Linked DNA regions of Rattus norvegicus. The protein of the gene in region 2 purifies or fractionates together with the protein of the main gene of each other region. This does not show direct contact. Links are inferred from orthologs where the notes say so. Each region holds a gene or a part of one and is shown on either strand. Other genes may lie near its edges.

Evidence for each region. The genes of interacting proteins can lie anywhere in the genome.
Region 1: the proteins of Mapk9 (region 2) and Dusp16 purify together in Homo sapiens (affinity purification with mass spectrometry; 6 studies listed by BioGRID and IntAct, with this or other methods). This does not show direct contact. The link is inferred for Rattus norvegicus from reciprocal best matches to the Homo sapiens genes MAPK9 and DUSP16.

What each region holds. Positions count from the first base shown.
Region 1 is NC_086022.1:169,358,578-169,362,954, forward strand, and holds the start of Dusp16 (dual specificity protein phosphatase 16), read right to left. Parts: upstream 2,932-4,377; 5' UTR 2,577-2,931; intron 1,674-2,576; exon of another isoform or gene 1,539-1,673; intron 1,492-1,538; exon of another isoform or gene 1-1,491. UniProt on the Homo sapiens protein: Dual specificity protein phosphatase involved in the inactivation of MAP kinases. Dephosphorylates MAPK10 bound to ARRB2.
Region 2 is NC_086028.1:34,708,697-34,711,846, reverse strand, and holds the end of Mapk9 (mitogen-activated protein kinase 9), read right to left. Parts: exon of another isoform or gene 2,879-3,150; coding exon of another isoform or gene 2,874-2,878; coding exon 2,731-2,873; 3' UTR 570-2,730; downstream 1-569. UniProt on the Homo sapiens protein: Serine/threonine-protein kinase involved in various processes such as cell proliferation, differentiation, migration, transformation and programmed cell death.

The sequences.
Region 1 (4,377 bases), on a different chromosome or scaffold from region 2:
TTCAAGTTATGGTATCTTCTGTTTGAGAACTCAAGGCTCTTAAAAAACATTGGTGTCCAATGAAATTATTAGTCCAGATAAGATGCAACAAAAAACTGTCTTTGTTGGAAACACCAGGAACATGAGACTGGATAAACTACACTGGTAAATTACATCAAGTTATATTTAACAGGACTTTATGATTGGTTGAAAATAGAAAAGACTTAACAATGGGCAGTTATATAAACTTGCTTGTTTAATATATTAAGGCCAAATAATGAAAATCCTATGAAATTCAATTTCCTAATCCAGGCAGTTAGAGGGAAAAAAGGGATATTTTAAAACCCCTACGTTGTTCCTGCTCCTCTCTAACTCCAGTCAAACTTCCCTTCAAGCTTCTCAGACCTACTCTCTCTATGTGGGAGGCGACATGGGCTTAGGACCTCACCTAACCCTAGGCCAGACCTACTCTTAAACTAGCTGACCTCTGCCCCCTCTGTTCCACTCTACAAATAAGTTTTCAACATCTAAGAAAAAGGAGGAAGGGGAATTGGTACCAGGATCTTCCTCTTTGTCCCCTTTCTCAATTACTATAATTAAACCTTTGATCAAAAAACCAGGAACTCCCAATTTCATATTAATATTTTAATTTTGTAGGTACTCAATTACAGTCATGGAGCTGAACTAAATGACAAGAACTTGGGAACTGAACAAAGTGAGAGCTGGGGAGGGAGTGGGTATTGTGCACTTTCCTGTTCCCAACCCTGTCCATTAAAATTTACCATCTGAAACACTAAAGTAAAACCAGCACAATTTTAGGATAAGTATTCTGGTATGCTGAGATACCAGGGAGAAAAAAAAAAAAAAAAAAAAAAAAAAAGAAGTAAATATCTTTATCAACGTTTTATAATTTTAATCAACTTATTCACTACTTACTAAAATTTAAAATAAACTTATTCCTAATTTTCTCTCCATTAGGAACTCTGACAAACACAAATATTGAACTAAAAACTAATAATTCAAGCTGAAGTCCTGAATTTGTCCCATAAGATGGTAAATGTCAAGAAAAAATTAATATCAACACCCCACAAGGTCGTTAAACACCAGTAAATCCCACAGCTTTATTCTTAAAATAAAGACCAAAAAACCCTTTTGCAGTGCCTAGTCACATTTTGACTAAAATACACAAAGCCACAAATACTTCAGTTTTCAATATACTTCTCCAAGCTGCTGATCTTCACCAAATACAGAATTTTATAAATCTGAACCACAGCCGTCCCCCGAAGTGTGCTCATCAATAATATGATTCTGGAGTAGTTAAAAGGAAATTATCTCAATGGTGAAGCTCTTTGTTCCCCTTTTACCTTTAAAAGTCTTTTCTTTATGGGAGATGAAAAAGCATACGACTCTTGAGGAAGTAGTTGTCGACTGTATCAGCTCCATAGAGTGGCCAAGAGCCCCCCTCCCCAGTCTGAGAGAGAGAGAGAGAGAGAGAGAGAGAGAGAGAGAGAGAGAGAGAGAGAGAGAGAGAGAGAGAGAGGAGAGAGAAGGACACATACCTGGTCATTTCCCCAGCAGGTTCCATAGGTTTGATTCACTTGTAAGAGCAGGGTATCTACTTACAATCTTTAAAGGCAAAGTGGCACCCAGCGCACTGTGTAAATAAAAACCTCAGAGGTTTTAAAACCCTCATCTTAACTCACTTCCCCCTTGGTTCCAGGGGACGGCTCAGCCAACCCCACAGCAAATGAGATTATGCAACAGGTTTTTCCTCTCTAAGCATGGGCTGATTAGAGGTGTGCGTTCTCCAAACAGTCTGAGACCCACGGGGCTTCCGAACACCGAGGATCTTGGAAACAGACGTTTAAGGAAAGTTCTTTCCAGTTTTGCAGCGGCCATTCATTTTAAGATCTCCTTGTACTTCCCCCAAGTTTATTACCAGCTTTCTGTAGGAAAACAACCGTCGCCCGCTCTTCAAAGAGTTTGCATACACGTCCTCCTCAGGGTTTTTTTTTTTTTTCTCACGTGAAACTACACGATACTCACAGACCGTCCGTTGCTTCCCCCGTTTTAATGTCTCACATTTTACGGCTACTGTAAATAAAGTCACCGACGGACCGCTTTCCCCCAACACCGTGACGGGAGCCCCGGAATGGAAGTTGAAGTGTGGGGGTGGGTTTTCTTTTTCGGGGTTGGGGGCATGAGTTTTAAGGAAGCGGCACCGTCGCTCCCCAGGTGGCCTCGCTGCCAGCACACAAGGTGAATTTGGGATAATGGAAACAGTCAGGCCGGGGCCCCACTTGGCAGGCGTGTTGTGTAACAGTCTGGAAGTGAGCAGCTTCGCCCGCCCAGGTGCCCGCGACCCGCGGCCCGGAGCTCGCTCGCCCGCTCGCCTCCGCTCCGCTCGGCGCGGCGAGGCCCGGGCGCCCCCGCGACTCGGGCCGACCCCCCAGCGCGGCCTACACACACCCCCGTCACCGACGCCGACGCCACTCCGGCCGGCCGCGGCCCGCCGGCCCCCGGGGAGAGCGCGCGGCGGCCCGCACGAGGTGCGGACGCGCCTCCCAGCCGGCCCGCGGCCCGCCGCGAACACTTACTTGAGGGGCGGCCGGCTCCAGGCTCGCTGTGTGGGGAGCGAGCCTTGTCACCGCGTCGCCCAGCCGTCGCTAGCGCGTCCTCCTCGCCGCCGGGGCTTCTCCTCTGAGGGGTGGGCGGAGAGCTTAGCGAGAGCCCGGGCGTTTGCAACTTTTCTTCACTTTCTCTTCCACCGCCCCCCGAAAGGGGGAAAAAAATGTCGACAGGGATGAAGAAGTTGAGGTAAAGTTGGGGGGGTCCGCGCGGGAAAAGTGGAGAGGGGGAGGGTAAATGGCTGGAAGTGGGATGAGAGCCCCCCCAAACGGTGATGCCCGCAGGAGGGGACCAGGGGGGGTAGGGTGGGGGTTGGGGAGAGAGAAAGAGTCGCTGGTCAGGAAACTTCAAGCGCCGATGAGGTCATCGGTTTAAAAATAAAGAGATGGCGTCACTTGAAACCAATCCCAGTGAATGAACTCAGCGAAGCCCGTGGGGGGAAAGGAGGAGACAGGCGAGGGCAGGGCGGGGGGCGGGGGCGCCGGACGGGGCCGCGCGTCGCCCGCCCCTCGGTGCTCGTCCTCGCGAGCCGGAGGCTCCGGAGGCTCCGGGAGGTGGGCTCGGATCCTCGGGCGCCACGGGGAGGAAGAACCCGGCGCCGCGCGCAGGCAGGCCGCCGCCGTGCTGCTGCTTGCTCCGCCCGCTCGCCCGCCCGCGCGCCTGGTCGCTCCGAGTTCGCGGCCCTGGAGTCAGAGTCTGCCGCCCGCCCGCACTATACAAAAACACGGTGACTAGAGACTGCTGCGGTCACTCTGTAAGAAGGTTCCGGAATCCCAAATCCGGGGCTTTTCTCTTGAGAGGGAAGTTACAGGTACTTTAAGGAAAATTGCACCCGAGTTGTCAGACATTCACCCGTGTCTTCGACCTTGCACCCTATCCGAATGCCTCGATTTATGGCAAACATAGCCAAGGATTATTTTAAAAAATCTTTTCTGCGTGCCCTCGGAATGGCTCAGCATGTAAAGTGTCCATGCGGTGGAGAGAACCGTCTTTGAAAATTGTCCTCAGTCCACATGCCGGCCCCACCCCGCTATACACACAAATAAATAAAAATGTAATAAAACTTTAAGGGGGTTTTGGGCAGTCAAGAGCACTGACTGTTCGATTCCCAGCATCCACAGGGCAGCTTACAACCATCTGTAACTCCAGATCCAGGGGATCTGATGCCCTCTGCTGACCTCCATGGGCACCGAGCACACCTGTGGCGTGAACATACAAACATGTAGGCAAAAACACCCTTACACATAAAATAAGTATTTTCTTATCAGAAGTGCAGCATCATCTTAAGTTAAACCAGAGTTCACTTCCTCTCAAGAGATGCGAGACCTACTTGATTTAACTCCAAGTTTCTCATGGATTTGGGGGTTTTGTACTTGTTTTCTTTTTCTTTTCTCTCTCCTCTTTTCAAAGTAGCTTTGTTTTTGAGACACTACATACTTTGGAAAAAACGAGAGACCTGAGGTGGCGACAACCATTCTCAGCCACTGAATAGGACAATCGAAGCTTTATCCCAGCGCCCTTTGAGCATCTGAGCTTGAAGCTGCTTCTACTAAAAAGGCTTCACGTGGATATCACATAAGAAAGATGAGATTAATGACAGAAAAGCACTCTCCTGGTGGACTGGCCCAAGAGCCAGATTCCTGTGTAGGAAGAATTTACCCCAAAACACTGTCATTTGCAGGGTACTGAAGTAAGGATTCTGGCCCTTGAAGGCAGTATGTTGAAGGAAATAGATGTGGACACTGCCTAGGTGCCTTTTTTAAAGGTGGC
Region 2 (3,150 bases):
CCACCAATCAAAACACATGATATATTTTATTATAAAACATTAGGCAGTTACTTTTGAGATACACAACCTGAAAGGTCATACTGTACTTACCACCAGCATGAGGCATCAGAGGAGTCATAGCAGACAGACTCACACACCCAGCCCAGATGAAACCAGTGTTGGGCTTTTTACTTTAGATGCAGGCCCTGGCTGTCAACAAGGGCCAATGGAGGGCTTTCTCTTTCTAACACCGGGGACTGGTCTTTGTGTTCTAAAGATGAGAGCACAGTTCTGACTGCAGGCCCAGTGCTTGAGGCACTCTGCAGCCCGAGTTCTGAGGCCGCGCTCCTACCCTGGCTGGACATGTCTGCCCTCCAGACCTGCGCTTGAAATGAAAACTCAGACCTGGAAGGGGCAGTCATTCCACTTTTGGCTGAAAATTAAGCCAACAACAACAAAAACTAACCTAGTGCAAATTCCAGATAATCATTAGTTACCCGGTTTATAAAAATACATGTCCAAAATAGTGACTTCCAGGGTGTGTACAATATAAATTACAAAAATAAAATAGAAAAGATGAGAAAGTTGAGCACATTTTTCAGTTCTTTATCCAACATCAGCATTTGCCTACAGAGGTCAGCTCAAAACCATTCGCATTGTCCCAGGACCCTGGCAAAGCTAGGCTCAGGAGGGAGGACCCTGAAACTGGGGTGAGGTATTTCTTTGGGGCGCTGTGGCCAGTCCTAGGTGCACTTGCCTGATGGAGGAGAGTCTTGGCATGAGACCCTGTCCACACCAGCACAGGCTCCATCCAAAACAGTGTTGATAGATAGGCAGAGTAAGGGGGGAGAAAGCCACTCTTTGAGGGCGCCTGGATCCACTCACAGCTGCCTCCTGTCTGTGGGACCAGGGCGAGCCTCTATCACAGCATGCTCCCCTTACAGTGTAGGGCAGATAATGCAGTGCCTTTCTGATTTCCTCCTTAAGTTTCAGGGAAGTCATTTCAAGAATGTGCATCCGAGGGAAGAGCACAGTATGACGCTGTGAAACTTCAGCCTCCCAGGGCCCAATAACCTGAAGCCATAGGCAGGTGTCTCTGCCCTCACCCGCACTAGCATTTGTAACTGAAAGTGTCCACATGTGATATAAAGCTAATCCTTACTTCAGATTAACATTGTTCATTAAAGGTTCCAATGATCAGACCAACCATTAGGATACAACTGGTGCAGACAGAATCACGTATTAGATGGTACTTTCCATAAAAGTTCTTATCAAATTTCCTTCTATAACACACTCCATAGCTCCCAAAGTAACTGAACACAAGATATGAATTGTTAACAAAATAAGCTCAAGAAGGAAATGCTCTGAGCGCAGGTAGCCAAGGTATGATCATCCCAACTCCAATTCTGCAACAACACAGAGAACTCAGCATCTTACCAAATCTCGAGTAATTTACAGATCAGGATCTGAAAGTATCAATTTCAGGTGAGCAGTTTTAAATCAGAAAATATTCAAGAATGAACCCCTAATTCTCTAGAATATTTCTTCTGCGTTCTTCTGAATGTTTCTAGAACATCTGAGGAATTCCCTTAGAAAAAGGAAATGCCTCCACAAAATGGAAAAGGACAGCAGCAAACATGCATGGTAAGTAAGCCCGGTCTCCTAAGAGACCATGTGCTCTGGCTGGACGTGGTGGCTTCTGTCAGTGAGAAAGACAAGTTAGGCAATGCTACAAAAGGAAAGGCTATGAGACCCAATCACCTTTCACCTTAAATAAAGAGAGGGGAGCAAAGGATGGGTGGGCTCAGGGAAGGAGGCACCCACCCACCGTTCTGGGGAAGCCACCCTGTCAGCTCTACATTAGGCAGCGGGGCTCAGGAATCTGCCGATTCATTCTACTGAGATGGGGTGCTTTGTGATAAAGAAGGTGAAGTTCTGTGAGGGATTCTAGATCCAAGTTCAGAGGACCAAGAAAAAGGAAATGTGTGGTCAGGATTCAAGGTGACATAAGTCGTTAAGCAGAGTGAAATACAACTTGGAACTTTGTCATGCAGAAAGCTGTACGTAAAGTTTCCCATAGTGGGCAGTTTAAAGGACACAGAGTGTCGATATAAAGCAGTGGTAATTCTCAGCCTAAAACATCACAAATTTAAGAAAAGCTGTAGTTTTATTTATTAAATAAATTTAATTATATTCCTTCTGAAATACAAAAGACAGAATAAATCATACCATAAAAGTGGGTAAAATATGATAATATGATAGTGGCCAATTCATACACATGATCTATTTTTTTGTGGACAGACACCAAATTACTAAAGAGGATTAAGAGATTATTCTAGAAGCAGAACTACCTGGAAGATTATTTGGCATTTAAATACTGATTCCCAAAGTGCTACATGGGCAAGTTCAAGCAAGCATTTGTGGTCACATGCATACGAGTCCCCACAGTTACACATGATCTGTCACCAAGGACACCACACGACTGGAAAAAGAAACTCGGCTATTCTAATTGCTCACCTGAAATGATCTTGAACAAAATTTCTAACAGTGTGGTTTGTACTTTTTCTCCAGACATCGTCTGCCTCATGTTACAGTCTACGCAGGCAATCCTACTGGAACTGAGTGGGGGCAAGGCGTCGTGTTTCTTACATGCAGAACATGGAGCTTCTTGATTTGGTTCCACCAGCTCCCATGTGCTCAGGGCCATGGAAGCCAGAGTCCTTCACAGACAAGTGCGCCATCTGCGAGGTTTCATCGGCAGCCTTCCAGGGGTCCGGTTGAGGCATCGAGACTGCTGTCTGTGTCTGAGGCCAGGGTGTGCTCAGTGGACATGGATGAGATGTCATTGATGGATGACGACTGAGAAGGAGTAGCCTTGCTGCTTACTGCTGCATCTGTGCTAAGAAAACCAAACGGAGTAAAATCTGAGGCACGGCATCCTGCACGCCAGGCGTGGGGCTTCAGGCTACTTCTCCATTCTGTGCTTGGTAGTTTCCGGATCCTAATGACCCACAGAACCAAGACTGCTCAACTACACTTTAAGCTTCTGGGATTTTTCCTGGAGTCCTTTGTTAGTTCAGTTTCGAAATCAGTCTTGGGCTTTCCCTACAATAGTCCCCTGTTCTGCCCGCACCACGGGCAATGTGTATGTGGTCACATATGACCATGTTG